Canis lupus familiaris: one gene and its partners. The protein of the gene in region 2 interacts with the protein of the main gene of each other region in a pairwise test. Links are inferred from orthologs where the notes say so. Each region holds a gene or a part of one and is shown on either strand. Other genes may lie near its edges.

The links.
Region 1: the proteins of GABARAPL1 (region 2) and TAX1BP1 interact in binary tests that used the Homo sapiens proteins (3 or more experiments, as listed by UniProt). The link is inferred for Canis lupus familiaris from reciprocal best matches to the Homo sapiens genes GABARAPL1 and TAX1BP1.
Region 3: the proteins of GABARAPL1 (region 2) and SCYL3 interact in binary tests that used the Homo sapiens proteins (3 or more experiments, as listed by UniProt). The two-hybrid records come from large-scale screens. The link is inferred for Canis lupus familiaris from reciprocal best matches to the Homo sapiens genes GABARAPL1 and SCYL3.

Annotation. Positions count from the first base shown.
Region 1 is NC_049235.1:40,947,236-40,953,085, reverse strand, and holds part of TAX1BP1 (tax1-binding protein 1), read right to left. Parts: intron 3,334-5,850; 5' UTR 3,327-3,333; coding exon 3,165-3,326; intron 1-3,164.
Region 2 is NC_049248.1:10,351,817-10,357,993, reverse strand, and holds the start of GABARAPL1 (gamma-aminobutyric acid receptor-associated protein-like 1), read right to left. Parts: upstream 4,462-6,177; 5' UTR 4,180-4,461; coding exon 4,090-4,179; intron 1-4,089. UniProt on the Homo sapiens protein: Ubiquitin-like modifier that increases cell-surface expression of kappa-type opioid receptor through facilitating anterograde intracellular trafficking of the receptor. Involved in formation of autophagosomal vacuoles.
Region 3 is NC_049228.1:28,710,462-28,716,575, reverse strand, and holds part of SCYL3 (protein-associating with the carboxyl-terminal domain of ezrin), read right to left. Parts: intron 3,529-6,114; coding exon 3,357-3,528; intron 1,978-3,356; exon of another isoform or gene 1,536-1,977; intron 1,352-1,535; exon of another isoform or gene 949-1,351; coding exon 790-948; exon of another isoform or gene 1-789. UniProt on the Homo sapiens protein: May play a role in regulating cell adhesion/migration complexes in migrating cells.

The DNA of each region.
Region 1 (5,850 bases), on a different chromosome or scaffold from region 2:
TGAGTTCCAGTCCAAATTCATTCAACTAATTGTGACAAATTCACAATGATTCTACTTATGGATTATAATCCACAACTGACTCCCTTTTCTACTTTAGGCGTTATCTCACCTAGAAAATTAGGATAGTCTAAAACATTTTCTGTCTCCATTCTCTTCTAATTTCAATTTAAATTTATCTTACTCAACCCTCCAAGATAAAGACTCACTTCTAAAATTACTCTCTGCTGTACTTCATTCCTCAGCCAAATATCCAAACCAAGCTTTTCCATTCATCTTCTAAAACTGATGATCTGTCCCAAACAAGTCAAATTCCTTTAACATTTTCACAAACATACCACACACACTTTCCCTTCATTCCTTCCCCCTTATAGCTACCATCCTGCACTTTCTCTTGCTTCCCTAAAATATTGTATCCATCAAAATCATCCTAGAGGGCAATTTGCAGTACACCTAAATGTTTTAAAACGTGCAATGCAATAAGCATGGCAATTCCACTCTATTAAACATGATTTATTTTCTTGAGACTTCCCGCACGTATTCTGAAATTTTTACCACATACCTGAAATTCCTATCAAGTTTAAAAGTATTATCCAGGCAATTCTATAATCCAAGCGCATTCCATACCACTGTATTCATTTATGTAAGTATTATTTCTTAGAGAAAAGTTACAGCACTTGAAGTGCACGTGAGATAAGAGTTTGGCATTACCAAAGTAAAAAATAAGGCAATTCCCGGGATCAAGTCCCATGTCGGGCTCCCTGCATGGAACCTGCTTCTCCCTCTGCTTGTGTCTCTGTCTCTCTCTCTCTCTCTCTCAGTCTCTCATGAATAAATAAAATCTTTGAAAAAATAATAATAAGCAGGCTATGACCAAAAAAAATGAAGTTACATATACAGAAGCTTTATATGGGGAACCTGGGTAGCTCAGTTAAGCGTCTGTCTGCAGCTCAGATCATAATCCCAGGATCCTGTGATCAAGCCCCACTTTAGGCTCCCTACTCAGCATGGGGAGTCCGTTTTTGTTTCTCCCTCTGCCTCTCCCCCAGCTCATGCTCACAAGCTCCCAAATAAATAAAATCTTAAAAAAAAAAAAAAGGAAGCCTTATATGGCACACTGGTAAAGTTATTTGGTCTTGGCGTTATTCTACAGATAATGAAAAACTAAGAGTTTGAAACAAAAAGAAGATATGTTCAGATTTTCATTTTATAATATAGTTTATATACAGTACTTTGAAGAACAGATAAGGTAGGGGGACAAGAATGAAAACAGGGAAAACAAGTGCAATAATTTTGGAAAGGGCATAAAACTAGAGCACTGATATCACAGATACAAAAATACATATGCAATAAAATGTAAAGAAATGGTGTTTGAATAGATTTGAAAGGAAAGTAATTAGCTTTTGGCTTAGGCAATAGGCCATTAACTAAAAATTGAGGGGAAAAAAAAACTTCAAAGGAAAAAGGTAAAGATTCATCTTGAAATGCAATTTATCATACATCAGCCTACATACCTACATATGCAAAGACATCCCATTGCCCAAAATAGAAACCTACATTTTAATTTTAGCCTATAACTAAAGGTCTCCATAGATAGTCTGAAGCTTAATTCCAACATTACCTCCCTCTACTTTCCTAAATGAAGGTCATTTTCTAGTCAAACTAACTTGTCTCAATAACATTCTCAACTCTGTGGCTCTGCTTATACCATTTTCCTGCCAGAAATGCCCCTCCTTTCCCTCAATCTTATTTCCTTGCTCTACTTTTGTCTGACCAATTCCTATACAAAACACCAATTTTCACTCAGCTTCTTTAACTTGATAACCCATACTTCACATAAAATCAAACCAGTACTAACTTCATAAAAATGCTTACAATGAATGTATCCCCATTTTGGAATTTGACTCAAACAATAAATAGATTAAAAAATAGTAAATGATTCCTCTATCATCAAAATCAAGGAAGGGATTCAAAAAAGAAATGAAACGTCATTAGATGCCAAAACTTTCTTTGTCCAATAGTTTTTCGGCCCTCCTCACTCTAAAAGGCTGACTTTCACTTCTAGATACCTGTGTTTCATTCTGGCAGCTGTTCTTTCTTTCTACTTTGTTGTAACTTATACACACCATGCAATCAAAATTTCAAGACCCTTAAAATCATATCTAAAACTCATTCTGAGGGAGAATCTAGAGGAACTGAGGAGAAAAGTTTTATTATTTGGACATTTACGACATTTTGATTGTTGAAAGGACACTTTTTAATTTTATTTAAGTAATCTCTACACCCAATGTGGGGCTCAAACTCACAAACCCAAGATCGAGAGTCACATGTTCTTCCAACTGAGCCAGCCAGGCACCCTAAGGACTCACCTCACGTTTTAGTTATCCACTACATTCTTAAGAGTTGAAATTGCCAGTAAATTTCTAGCACAGAGAAGCACCACCATAAAGATCACCTCAAAGTAATTCTCAAGCAACTACTATACAAAATGACTAGCAAAAGGTAAGAACTGGGATTCCTGTCATCAGAGAGTTTACTATTTAGTCATGTAAAAACAGAATACTCTTAATAAAATGGGGCAGCCCGGGTGGCTCAGCAGTTTAGCACTGTCGTCAGCCCTGGGCCTGATCCTGGAGACCCAGGATCAAGTCCCATGTCGGGCTCCCTGCATGAAGCCTGCTTCTTCCTCTGCCTGTGTTTCTGCCTCATGAATAAATAAAATTTAGAAAAAAAAAAAAAAAAAAGCATAAAATGACATGAGCAATAATTAATCAACGTAGAATAGAAAAATAACACGGCTGTAGAGTTGTATAAAATTAATTATAAATGACTGAAGAGATAGTAAATGATAAAGCAACTCAAAGGAAAAGACCTTTTTTCAAATAAGGAATGGAAAAAATGGAAGGGAAAGAAAGGTTCCAAAAAGTGTTTCACAGACCTTTTGATCAGAGAGACGGGCAAAACTGGTGAACTTTAGTTCCCAGTATCGTATACCACCCTGCACTATTAGGTGTTTCATGTTTATAAAGCATTTAAGTTTACAAATGTAAAAAGACCCTTATCGCAGAGTGAAGACAAGGCTAATACAAGCTACTTATCAACCTGCTTAAAAAGAAAATAGAGTACCTATACCTACATGGAAGAAACATGCAACAAACTGTTCTTACCTTGAATATACCAACCCAATCTTTTGGATGTGGATGGATATATGGAGTTAAGGTGTAATGACATTCCAGGTGTGCATTAGGAAGATAACTCTTGGCCACATTTTGAAAGATGACATGGGCAAAGTTGGAAGTCTGCAAGGGGACTTCTTGAAAGGATGTCATTGTGAATCTGAAACAAGCAAATCATACAAGTTGAATGATACCAACTAACACAAAGTTTATACCTTCAGAAAATACACAAAACTAAATGCAAATTACAAGAGCATCTGCATGCCATAATTATTGAGAAGACACACACTTGGAATTCCTCCTTAAAAACATGATTGAGGGCAGACCCGGTAGCTTAGCGGTTTTGCACCGCCTTCCGCCCAGGGCGCGATCCTGGAGATCTGGGATTAAGACCAACGCCAGGCTCCCTGCATGGAGCCTGCTTCTCCCTCTGCCTGTTTGTGTGTGTCTCTCTATCTCTAATAAATAAATAATTAAAAAAAACATGATTGAATATATAAAAATACAAACTGATGGAATGCCTGGGTGGCTAAGTGGTTGGATGCATCTGCCTTTGGCTCAGGGTGTAATCCCAGAGTACCTGAGTCAAGTCCCACATCAGGCTCCCTGCATGGAGCCTGCTTCTCCCTCTGCCTATGTCCCTGCCTGTGTCCCTCATGAATAAACAAAATCTTTTTAAGAAATAAAACTACAGGGGATCCCTGGGTGGCGCAGCGGTTTGGCGCCTGCCTTTGGCCCAGGGCGCGATCCTGGAGACCCGGGATCGAGTCCCACGTCGGGCTCTCGGTGCATGGAGCCTGCTTCTCCCTCTGCCTGTGTCTCTGCCTCTCTCTCTCTCTCTCTCTCTCTGTGACTATCATAAATAAATAAAAATTAAAAAAAAATTTAAAAAAAAAAAAAAGAAATAAAACTACATCTGCAAGACATAAATGTTTCCCATATTTTGTGCTCTACTTTTGAGAAAAAGGATACAACTGAGGATTTACTCAAAAAATCTATACAGTATCACAGACTCAGTACAATTATTGATTGTATACTACATATAAGAAACTATGACAATGTCCCTATAGTACTTGCTCCTGTATCATCATAAAAATCCCCATAATGTGACAGGAAAACCTGGGCAAGCTTTTTGCTAACCAAATGAATCTAATTTACTTTATAAATCAATAAAGTCTCTATAGGGCAAGCACAGCAGTTAGTCTCTATTCATATTTTAACTATTAAAATCTTAATTGTTAAGATTGAAGACAACATGCTTATACGTTTCTTTTGCTGACCTGTTTGAAACACTAAGGCAAATTTTCAAAATTTCAAGATAAATACTTCAGAAAATATCCACTTTTCTTCTTGTATCTTCTCTGCTTCTGTTAAAGTACTGCTTTACTGGAACAGTATATTAGACATCTCATAAAGAGACTATCAATGGTGAGCCTGGGAGCCACCATGGTAGAGTACCAGTCTAGTTGTCAGTTAGCCTCTCCACAACCTGAGCTTTGCCAGGATTCCAATGCAAGGAGAGTGCATCCAGTAGCAATCCTCCTGTCCATGGCTTATTACCAGCAGCCCTATTTTACAGAAGGATTTGACTATCACTATTATGCCAAAGCCATCAATAAAACGAAAAGATAGCACTTACATACAAACACTGGGAACGCTGTCTAAAATAAATGAAGAGTTTTATTACTTTCTTTGAATTGTCTGAGCTAATTTGGGCTCAGGGGGATGTCATGATGCTAATAAAATCACTAATGATAATCGCTTTTCAAGTCAATGGTTATACTAGTTAAGAGAAACAATAGCTAAAAATCAATGAAACCAACTTCTAGCAGATCCAACTACCAAAACTGAGACAAATGAATGAATCAGTAATATATTTCTAGGGAGAAAATAAGTATTTAGGATTCTCTGAGGAAAACATTTAGTAAGGAAAAAATAAGGTTAGCTTAGACTGAGTTGCCAATGTTTTTTGCTAAAAGTAATTTAAGAATGAAACTTTTTCTTAAGACTTAACATATTTCCTTTTTTTTTTTTTAAGATTTATTTATTTATTCACGAGAGACACAGAGAGAGAGAGGCAGAGACAGGCAGAGGGAGAGGCAGGCTCCATGCAGGTCTCCAGGATCACACCCTGAGCTGCAGGCGGTGCTAAACCGCTGTGCCACGCCACCGGGGCTGCCCTTAAGACTTAACATATTTCCTAAAGTAAACTAAATCAACAAAGCTGTAATTGTTATAAAACAAGTCAGTGAAGTTTAAACTTTTGTTTAACCTCAACTACACTGTTTTAAAAATCTATAATCCAATCTTACACTTTCGCTTCACTGAAAAAGTAGAAAGTAGGAAGGTATACTTCCTACTATGTATTTATGTATTTATGTATATGTATTTATTTATGTGTATGTGTGTATATACACTTACAAATGCATCAAAAAGGACTAAAAAATACAAGAGTTAATAACAAATGCATCAAAAAGGACTTAAAATAAAGTTAATAGTCTTTACTCATGAGGGACTATGTGTGAAGACTTTTAATGGATTTTTTATCAGTATGTATAAACTCATCTTCATTTTAAATCAACATATTGACATGAAATTTCATTTTAAACCTTCCCCCATTCAAGTTTTTAATAGAAGACTCTAACATCAGACTTTAAATATATTCATGATTATAAAT
Region 2 (6,177 bases):
TCTCTAGAGTGACTGCAAAAAAATGTTCAAGGCACTGTCTTATTAAGTCAAAGAAAGTACTGAATAGTACTTAGAGTATGAGATCCTGTAACGTGAAGTCACTTATGATAACCTATTTATCAATATTGGTTGGTGTTATAAGGATTTTCAATGTCTACATTAAATATGTCTATGATCAAATTTTTTTTTAAAGATTTTTATTTATTTATTCATGGAAGACACAGAGAGAGAATGAGAGACAGAGGCAGAGACACAGGCAGAGGGGGAAGCAGGCTCCATGCACCGGGAGCCCGACGTGGGATTCGATCCCGGGTCTCCAGGATCGCGCCCTGGGCCAAAGGCAGGCGCCAAACCGCTGCGCCACCCAGGGATCCCCTCTATGATCAAATTTTATAAGGATCATATATTTCTCTAATGAAAAGAAAAAAGAAAAAAAGAAGATATATAAAAATTAAAGACTTTATGCATAAAGTTTCAAATATTAATTTAAACAACATATCTTTAAGAAATAATTATAAAAATATACTTAGTATTTATAATTTATGTAACTTAACTGAAATTATAAATATTTAAAATCTTTTGTAGGGCACCAGGGTGACCCAGTGGTTGAGCATCTACCTTTGGTTCATGATCCCAGGGTCCTGGGATCAAGGCCTGCATCAGGCTCCCTGTGGGAAGCCTGTTTCTCCCTCTGCCTATGTCTCTGCCCCTCTCAGGAATAAATAAAATCTTAAAAAAAAAAAAAAATACAATCATTCTTGATCAAACACACAGAAAATCTAGAAGAGTTACAGAAGTAGAAGTAACACTAGACAAGTATCCCAGGGAACTTTGTGATCTTCAACAGGTCATTTAACTTCTTTGAACTACAGCATTCCGGTGAGTAATAGGAAGATGAAACTTTCCAATATATCTTCTACAGTCATGGTACTCCTACAGTAACTTTGAGTAATCCATAAAATTTTATGTGAAAATGTTTTGTAAATTATGAAGAATTATCTTAATAAAAGGAACGATTTAAGAGGAGAGACTTGGAGGCTTGAAGCTTTTAAATGAAAGGGAACACATAAAAGGAGTAAAAAACATTATTTTGTGTTTCTGGAGAAAAAGAATCCTGAACCAGGAAGACTGAAGGGACATGATCCCTCTAAAAATTTAGAAGTGAAAACCAGAAAAAAAAATACGTGAATCAGAAATTTAAAAGAAAAAGTAGGAAGAAGTTCAGGGATAGACCAGTGAAGGCCCAACAATGAGGATGGACAGGAGGCATCAGGTTAATAAAAAAGCAAAGGGAAAGAGAGGGAGCCTAACACTGTTTCCCAAAGGAACCCTGAGACCTCCCGCTCCCATCAGTAAGAAGTGACAGAAACCACAAAAAGAGAGCAGAAAAAGAGGCAATAAAATATACTGCAAATAAGATATCCAGACAGGAGGTTGGGATTTGGAGATGAACAGGAGGGGGATGGGTAATCATTAAGGCCTTGGCTTACCAGAAAATATCTTAGGTTTCCAACAACCCCAACTCTACTCATAGGCCCTGGACTAGATGCTTTTCCTCTTTGGTTCTCGACGTGTTTTTTTCTTCTGTGCAATACGGCCAATATTCCACAAGGGCTTTTACAAATTTTAAAGAATAGACAATATGTCCCTAACAGTTTCCTGCAGTGTTGAAGGTTTTCAATACACTGTAGCTATGCAGATACTTTAAGATCCAAAGAAAACCTTTCCTCTCAAGGCAGGAGCACATCCATTCTTTTGGATGGTAGCTAAGAGATAAGGAGGGGCCTAACTAAAACTGAGTTATGTGAGCAGTCAGGGAACCTGATTGCTTTGGTAAATACCAATGGCCCAGCTGGAAGGGGTTTTAGAAATCACTTACACTAACCCTCTTTTCTGTACACTTTAGTACAGCAAGATTAAGGATCTGGCCCAAAACTAAATCTCACAACTCAGAGAGCAGAGCTCTTCTTCCTGCATCACGACCACAAAGAAGGTCACAGGCTGAGCACCTAAGGAGCAGCTGGAACGCTTATAAACTGGTTAAAACCCAACTGAAGGAACCATGAGACCTGAGTGATGATTCTAAGAGCTGACAAGTAATCACACAGGCCAAACATTTTTAACACCAAACAATGAGCAGGAAAAGAATAGGGAAGATTAGCTGAAATACTCTGGGTGAATGCATGTAAGAGACTGAAATGGCAAGGGCTCGGTTTTGAAGAAATACATGGGAATTTTAACTAGATTTAGGAACAGGTACCTTTCAGAGTTTGTGGCTTAGGCAGAGCTACTGGAACAGAGCCTCATACTGTTCTGAATAAATGGTAGTCATTTTGCTCAGTGGGTTACCTTTCTGGCATCATACTTCTCTGACCTTTCTAGGGCTGCAATGTTTTTTCTTAATTTCCAATACCTAACAGTGTGAGTCACACAGTGCCTCCTTAATTAATTCTGAGATTAATTTTCCTTAATTCTTAATTAAGAGAATTGTATTAGAAATTGAGAAACGATATGGCATGGAAGGTCCAACAACCAGAGTTGGAATCTCAGGCTCTGCCACACACCAGCCACAGGAAACCTTTAGGAATCCGTCATTTCTCTGTGCTTCAGATCCTTCATCTGTAGAATGGGATTATAACGGTGTGAAGATTGAGTAAGGTCAGAGGACATGCAATACTGTCAGTATAGAGCAAACAATCAACCAATGAAAGTTAGTTGTCATTTTTAACTATTAGACGAAAGGAGGCTTGCTACCACCACAATTGGGGCAAACTTTTGAAGCTGTCACCCAAAGTCCAGATACCAAACAAGTAATTTGTGAAGGATCATTTACTGGGTGGGTAATAGAGCTAGATCTCCTTTTTAGCTGAAAACCCTTGTGTACAATTCGTGGGGAATGGAACAGACCTAAAGTCTCGCTTCCTTATAAAGGACTGCAGGGGAGTTTTACTGCAGGCATTAAGGCCCAAGTTGCTTCCAGTAGCTGTAACACGATGAAAATTAGGTAAGGATTGGAGAAGAGTCCCAAAGAGTACCTGCAGGTCAAGAACTGACAACACATAATCACAATTACTTTGCCTGTACATAATACGTCATCTTTATCCCAATGTCCCTGCCTGAAGATAGTACAATCTGACAGCCTCTGCTCCTCCATCTCCAAAACCCAACGGTGGTTGTTCCCTCTACCACCACACTCAAAAGTCTTCTGCCTTCCAATCTGGCTGCGCAGCCTACATTACAAAAAAAAAAAAAAAAAAAAAAACAGGCAAGCGGCGGGGGATGGGGCGACGAAAAAAGCGCCCGGATGCAGAAAGCTACCTTAATGTTTCTCTGTTCTCCCCACTGCCGGCACTAATTTTAACCACAGAAACCAGCTTCCAAGACGGAAGCAAAAGGCCCCAGTCCTTCATGGTTGTGTCCAGGTACAATCTGATAGAATAAGTACAGGAGGGAGGCTGGCTGCACCCTCACAAGCCCCTGGAGCCAAGAATGATGAGGCAATCGGGCTGTGGCGCAGAGAACGTGACCTTGTTTTCTGGGCCAGGCCTGTCTCGTGCCCTCCCCTCCCCCCCCCCCCAACAAAGACACTTTTCTCATTCTTATGGAATAAAAGAAAGGATCCACTGATTTCTGAATCTATCCCTCCCAAACCCAATGTTCTGAGAGCCAAAGTCAACTTCAGGGAGACGCATCGAAGGCAGAAATCCATGGCCGCAAACCTCACTGCACCAAGTTATTTCCAGAACAATTTCCCTGGGATTCTGAAGGACGCGAATGTATGGTCCCATCTCGATCCTGCTCTCACTAAAGGGCCACGTTCTGGTCACTTCTCACCCTGCACATCCTCTGAATACTGCTGAGTCACTCAAACGGAGGCTCCGCTCTAAAGATGACGGGGAGAGCGGCCCCGGGGAGACGGGCCGTGCAGGGTCCGCAATCAGGACGTGCGCTCCACGGCTCTCCAGGGGCTCAGCAACCCTAGAGACCACCCCTCTTCTGTGCCTCAGGGCAGCCACCACGACTCCCGGGTTCCCCCAAGCGCGCTCAGCCCCTTCCCCCCTCCTCTTCCCTGCCCCCCATTACACTCACAGGGACCCTGTCCGGATATTTCTTCCGGATTTTTTCTCCTTCCTTTTTCCGATATTCAAAGGGATGGTCCTCCTTGTACTGGAACTTCATGATGGACCGCAGGGTTTCTAAGATTCCCCGGCCGGGGCCTGCCTTCCTCGCGGGTGGCTGCGTCTCTCCCGCCTCGCCTCCCCCTGCCGAATTTCGATGTAGGTGTCAGAACCGCCTGAGAAACGTCAGCTCCCGTCGCCACGCGCCTTGGCAGAGCTTGCAGAAGGGACGTCGGGTCCCCTCGGACGCAAGACGGAGTCGCTCAGGTGGAGAAATCCCGGCGGATTTTCCCCGGAGCCTCGAGCACAAAAACAACACGGCGGCGCGTTGGTATTATGACGTCATGACGTCCCGCCTCCCCGCCCCGCCCCCAGCCTTCGGACGGCAGCGGGGGGCGGGGGGGGAGGGCGAAAGTCGGTCCGGTTCGGCGCGCTCCCCTCTCCCTCTGTCCGAACTCTCCTGCGTCGGGAGTATTGCGAACATATAACTTTTTTACTTCGAATTTCGTTGTGTGGCTGTGACATTAAAAGTGGTTTGGATGCAAAAAAAAAAAAAAAAAATACGTTCTAAAGATATCTTATTCCCTCTTGCTCGCTGTTTCTTGGTTGGATCCAAAAACAAACACAGGGGGCGAAAATCGAGCTCTTTCCAGCTTATTGGGATCTGGAATCTAGGAGAAGAAAGAATGGGGGTCGTCGGGTGCCTTTGGCCCGGTACGGAAGTGCCCGGTGCCTGCACTGTGCCCTTTGCTCCTCGTCTGCACCCCCGCTCCTGGGCGCTGGGCTGGCGCGCTCCGACCGTGACCCTCCTTCACCACGCGCGCGCACGTCATTTTGTTTGGGTCCTTGCCGCAATTCGCTCCTAGAGCGGCAGCAACAACAGAGCATGACTCAGGAATTTGAGATGTAGAAGCTGAAGGGCAAGCTTGTCGTCAAGGTCCTGAGAAGTGATGTCAGTCATCGCTGCCGAGGGCGTCGCTCACGCTCCGATATAGAAATGATTCACTTTCTCCTACGAACTCAGAGGGTGGGCCTGTCTTCTGGAAAAGAAAATAACCAAGCAATTCAGGTGGTTCACAAAGTACCTCTTAAACATTTCTGTTGTTTTTTTTTTTAATTTTTATTTATTTATGATAGTCACAGAGAGAGAGAGAGAGAGAGAGGCAGAGACACAGGCAGAGGGAGAAGCAGGCTCCATGCACCGGGAGCCCGACGTGGGATTCGATCCCGGGGCTCCAGGATCGCGCCCTGGGCCAAAGGCAGGCGCCAAACCGCTGCGCCACCCAGGGATCCCCCATTTCTGTTTTTATTCTGCAAAAATTCACCAGAGGATAGTACTACTTGTTAAGTGTCCCTAAGGTGAAATAAAGTGCCACCCGAAGGGCTGGTGGAAGACTGGTGGGCCACCTGCCGTTGTCGCTTGCCTCTGGCCGTCCCCTGGCCCCACTAAGAATGGAAGAATTAAGGCCTTTCCAACCACTGCCAATGGCAGTGATTCCAGGGATTGTAGATCAGCAGGAGGAAGGCAGAGAAAATTGTAAAAGGTATAGAAGAGAGAGGAAGGACCGCTTTGCTTTGATCAAGTCCAGGGAGCTCTGAAATAAATATACAACAGCAGTCCCCATGTCTCTGGTTTAAAAAACAAACCCACAAAATAAAAGAAACTAAGTTTCATTATTGAAAAAAGGAAAATGAAGATCAATAGCCTTACCTCTTGACGTTAATTATTTCTCCTCCATGATGTCTTTCAGTCCTCTTTAGTATAAAAACCCAGGAACGAGTCTATCACATTATATGTTTATAATTTTTAATCCTTATTTTCAACCAAATGTTAGCTCATTTTAGTTTTGACCCACTATAGCTAAAATCTCTGAAAGGAAGTACTTTACAACCAGCTGAGAAAGATAATTGTGATGGAGATGAATATTTTAAGGGTGTGGTTCTTGGGACACCTGGGTGACTCCTTGGTTGAGCATCTGCCTTTGGCTCAGGTTGGGATCCTGGGGTCCTGAGATGGAGTCCCACATCAGCTCCTCACAGGGAGCCTGCTTCTCCCTCT
Region 3 (6,114 bases), on a different chromosome or scaffold from region 2:
AATGTAACAAATATGTGAGGTAGGTTATTCAGATACTTTAACTAGAGCATACAATTCTTCACTAAATATTCAAGCGTATTGTTTATTGGTGTATTATCTATAAACAAATATAGAAATGTTCTAAGCCAGGCAGTGTTAACCCCAAAAAGTGTTGTGTGCTCAAATAAGTTTGCCTTAAACCAACATAGTATCTCTTTTATTTTTTTTAGAAGGGGGGGGGGGTGGCAGAAGAGAGAAAGAGAGAATCTTAAGCAGGCTCCATGCCCAGCACAGAGGGGCTTGATCTCAAGACCCTGAGATCATGACCTGAGCTGAAATCAAGAGTAAGATGCTTAACCAACTGAGCCACCCAGGCAACCCTAACATACCCTCATTTTAATCAGATATCCTTAAATGTAGTCAAGGTCCTGGAATCTTGCACAATAAGTGTGTCAGGACTCTGCTACTAACATCTCCCCAAACTTACTTAACCACACAACTCTCTTTTTCATGGCATACCTACTGCCATCTAACAGAATTAGCATCCTCTGATATAGTTTGGAAAATGTTGCACTAAAGCACCAGAAGTACCAAAATAATGTCAGCTAGCTCTCCTCACCAGTTATGAAGAAATGGTAGGTATATAACCTGTAGTCCAGGAAAAGCAGATGACACCCCAGCTGACTACAGTTATACAGAAATCAGCCTCGTTATTCCCAAACTGCCCTTAATTTTTAAAATTTATAACTCTGTACTCAGGAATAACATTCATGTAACAGTGGAAAAACTATATAAATTGAATATTTCTACCTGTCTGTAAAAGAGTATTGTAGCAATCTCGCTGTATCTGCTTCTTGCTGATGGGCATGCTGCCAGAAAAGAAACATTTAGGGAACATGCCAGAGGAGGGGTTCTCCAAGATTGGCGCCGTCTGACTCTGCTGGCTACAGAAGACGTGCGGGGGAGAATCTGAAGATAAATAAAAACTCCCAAAAATAAAAAGGATAGTAAATAGCTTCTTGCTCTGTCAGGGTAAGTGAGTAACAGGGGAAATGGGTATATTTAACACAGATAAAGGATAAGTTGCAGAGAGAATCTTTAAATATCTGAAGAAACACACTCATTACAGAATGGCCTGCCTGTGTCCTCAAGGTGTTTCAGGGCAGGCTGAGGTCTACATGATGGTAAGGGACTTGAAACAGTTCAAGCATTGGGTGAGCAGTTGGATTAGATATAACCTTTAGAATACCTAATTAAAAAAGTTAACAGCCACTGAACATTTTGTCAATTTAAAATAATTGATTCTACTTAAAAAAAAAAAAAAGTCTAAGAATACAAGCACACCAATGTGAATGTACTTAATGCCACAAACTGTACAGTAAAAATGGTTAAAATGGTAAATTTTATGTTACAAACATTTAACTCCCAGCTGGGGGAAAAAAATGTTTCCAAAAAAAAAATGGTCTTTAACAGTTTGCCAGAAAATTCATACTCAACAGTGGGCTTTGGTCAAAGGATTCCAGCAAAATTTTTGGCTTAATACTTCCTATGCCTAGGTAGGTCATCACAGGGAGGCCCTGCCTGACCTCTGCAAGCCCTGTAGCCTCTTGCCTGCTTCTGTCACCACCCTCCCTGCTGAGGGCCTCCCAGGGTCTCCTCCAACTCTCCTCCATCCAGACTGACTTCCCTAATGTAAGTAAGATACTACCCTTTTCATAAACCTCAATATTATCCCATATGAAGTCTGACCATATAGTGAAACTGCAGAAGAACAGAAGGAGGAAAAAGTCTAAGGGTAGCCTCCTGTATCCATGCCCCCTCCCCAGCATTCTCTCTCATCCTTCAGAAGAAGGACCACTCTAGCCATGAACTTGAAATGCAGGCTGCAACCAGGGGTCGACAGCCATCTTGGATGAAGAGTTTAACTACTTTGGGAAGTCAGTGGGATCAGACCTTGATCTGTTTTGTAAAGTCTCCAGGAACATCTATTTTAATAAAAATTCATTTGTTACTCCTGCTTTTGGTGCCTTTTTGGTTTCTAAGATTACACGTCAATAGTATATAAAATGTCCAGAACTAGGAAACTGCATCTAATAAATAAAACAGTTATGAAGAATGGGGACTCTTGCTAATTCAACATACAAAGCTGCCCTGAGATGGACTCCCACAGTCTTATCTCAAAATAGCACATACCACCACCACCATCCCCCCTCAATGTTCCTGTGTTAGGAAATATAAATAAATCTCTCATTTGCTGTTTGTTGTACTCTGCTAAGAGAAAAACTGGTAACACACGGCCTTCATTCACTCAATGCAGTGTGAACATATCCTGGCAGGAGAGGAGGGAGCAGCTTCTTCATGACCTTCTGCAAATCTGGACACAGACTTCATTGGCACCATGAAGACATGGACCCATCAAAACTTCAGAAAGCCAGTGTTGCTTTAAAGATTCTCCTGGCATCAAAATTAGGGGAAAATCTGATCTTTTCTACTGTAACTATTTGGATAATATCAAATACACTATCCACGACAACTGAATCAGAGATCTGCGTTTCCTCACAAGGTCACCATCTGATTCTAGGTTATACCCAGGACCAAAGAAGCAATAATGCTGATATAAAATTCTTGACTTTTACTGCCTACAAAGACCAGAAAGTAATGCTCTGTCCCATGTAACATCCAATGGGAAATAGCCCAGAAATAAGGATTTCTTGAAGTAACTAAAAACCAACAGCTCTTTACTTAAAAGGCCATCAATGCCAGAAAAATTTGAATATCTAGTGTTATAAGGTGCTACAGCCCTTTTAGAAGCTGACAGTATCTACTAAAATTTTAAATATACATCATTTGACTCAGTAGGTCTACTTCTGGGACTTTATCTTTTAGCAATAAAAGCCAAACTACATAAAGATACAGGTACAAAGACATCTGCTGCATCAATGTAGTGGTTAAAAATCCAGAAATGAAAGCAATATCCATTAAGAGGGAAATCACTGAATCGTATTCAGTGAAATATTAGGCAGCTGTCAAAAAAGGTGTCATTACTATGTACTGACCTAGAAACCAGTCTCTGATAAGCCACTACGTGTGAAAATTAGGCTGTACAATTGCACGTAGTATTTGCTCATTGTTTTTTTAAAAAATTCTACATATGGGCATGTGTGTATAAACATACATCTGTGTGTCTTTGTGGGTTTTACAAAAGGGAAGAAAAGAGTCCCACTAAACTATTAAAACTGGTTACCTTACACACCCAGAAGGAATTGGGAAAGGGAAATTACTCTTTACCATTCTCTGTATCATTTGACTGAAGACAACCCACCATGTTATTTGTTAAAAATCTAATTAAAATAAAAAGCTGTACTTTTCATTCTTACCTTCTGGGGAAAGGTTGACCGTTTTAGTAAAACCTGGGGCAGTGCGTTTGAAGATCTTGGTTCTTTCTCCTCCCACAACCACCTCTGGTCCAAGTAAAGACACCAGTACTGCTAGGCTGTGAAGAGTAATTGCCACAATGGAATCGCTGGTATCACGCAAGCCCAGTAACACCTAGGAGCAAATCAGGTCATAAGTGTACACAACCATGTTGCCTGTCTTTTGTCCCCATAAACAACCAACTGGACTGCAATCAGTCTATGCTTGCTCAGATGACTTCATTTTTTACATAGGTGTTCTAGGTCAGTAGCTCTCAAAACTGACCGTGGTCAAGGACCAGTATTTTCCCCTCCCAATCAATCACAGACTGAAACACCATTAAAAATACAATAAAAAACAAAAAGACATTAGAAATAATATAAAATTACTGTGAAACTGCTATAAAAGGTTCTAGACTTGTCCATCATTCCTGTCAGCTCGTGCCCCAGGATCAGAGGCAGCTGAGCACTCAGGAGATCTCAGCTCTTTAAGAGACGACAGCCTCTTAAATACTGACGACAGCTAGTATTCCAAGGAGGCCTCCCAGCAACTACTGATTAGGCCTGACCCTGCTTACTGTCAGATTAGCTGAGATGGGGTGGGGTTCAGGGTGGTATGGCTATAGAGGCCTCTCCAAATCTTTGGAGAATCTAAATATTCAGTCAAAAGACAGAGTGACAAGAGCCTATACCTGTGGCAGAGGAGCTAACTGCAGACATCTAGTCTGACAACTGGCCCTACCTACCAATGAGCGCAGAGCAGCTTCAGGCCTCTCAACAGCACAGGGAGCAAACACTGTCCGCTGTGTCCACAGCAGGCAAAGTGGGTCACAAGAGCTGACTGTGCTAAAGGCAAATGAGGCTCAGCCACAAGAGTAGGGTATGCATCACCCATACAGGAGACCCCTCTGGAGTGCCTGGTACTGATGACCTGTCAAGGACTACCCTTTTGGGCACCACAGGACCTCTTCCACACAAGATGTAGCTGATTTCCCTAATACATAGAAACAAACTGAGAGACAAAATGAAGAGACAAAGGAACATGTCCCCAAATGAAAGAACAAAATCACAACAAAAGAGCTACATGAAATGGAGATAAACAATATGCCTTATTCGAAGAGACAAAGGAACATGTCCCCAAATGAAAGAACAAAATCACAACAAAAGAGCTACATGAAATGGAGATAAACAATATGCCTTATTCGAAGTAATGGTCATAAAGATACTCAATAGACTTGAGAAAAGAGTGGGTGAAATCAGCATTTCAACAAAACAAAAATCATTTCAACAAACAAAATATTAAAAAATTCAATAACAAAAAATACACTAAGGAAATATCAGTTGATTAGTAGATAGAAGATTGATATTGGCGAATCAGCAATTGGAAAATGGTAATGGAATGCACTCAAACTGAACGGCAAAAAGGAAAATAATAAACATGAGGATAGGTTAAAGGAATTCAGTGACATCAAGCATAATAACAGTACTTACAGGAATCCCAGAAGAAGGGGAGAAAAGAAAACAAAACTCATCTGAAGAAATAATTGCTGAAGACATCCCTAATCTGGGAAAGGAAACAGACATCCAAGCCCAAGAAGCAAGGAGGGCCCCTAACCAGATTAACCTAAGAAGGCCCATGCCATGACACAATATAACTGAAATGAAAATGATCATCAAGAGAGAATTTTAAAAGCAGCAAAAAAAAAGTAAACAGTTGCAGACAAATAAAATCCCATAACACTATGAGCTGATTTCTCAGGAGAAATTCTGCAGGCCAGGGGGAGTGGCAGGATACTCAAAATACTGAAAGGAAAAAACCTGCAACCAAGAATGCTCTACCCAGCAAGGTTATTTTTCAGAATAGGAGAGACAGTTTCCCAGACAAAAGTTCAAGGAGTACATCACTACTAAACCAACCATACAAGAAATGTTAAAGGAATTCTTTGAGTGGAAAGAAAATGACATAATCCATAGTAAGAAAATTATGAAAGGAAAAAATTTCACAGGCAAAACAAACATATAGTAAAAGGCAGATAACCACTTTTAGAGCAATATGGAGGTTAAAACACAAAAGAAGTAAAATCAACTATAATCTACAAAAATCAAAGAATACACAAAAAAAGATATAAAACATGACCTCATGTACATAAAAGGTTGGGGGGGGTAGTAAAAATTAAGTTCAAACACAGTCTAAAGAAAGCACTGGAAAGACCATCAACTTAAAATAGACTGCTATACACACAAGATTTTATATATGAACTTAGTGCTAACCACAAATCAAACACCTGTAATAGATACACAAAATGTAAAAGAGAAAGGAATCCAAGCACAACACTAAGAAAACCATCAAACCACAACAGAAGAGAGCAAGAGAAGAAAGGAACACAGAAGAACTACAGAAACAACCAGAAAACATGTTTAAAATGGCAGTGAGTACATACCTATCAATAATTACTTTAAACATGAATGAACTAAATTTCCAATCAAAAGATGCAAGTTGACTGCACAGATAAAAAAAACAAGACCCATCAATATACTGCCTACAAGAGACTCACTCAAATCTAGAGATACATACAAACTGAAAGTGAAGGAATTAAAAAAGATATTCCAAACAAGTGGAAGTAAAAAAAAGCTGAGGTAGCAATATTTTTTATCAGACAAAATAGATTTTAAAACAAAGCTGCAGCAGGAAACAAAGAAGCGCACCACATAATGATAAAGG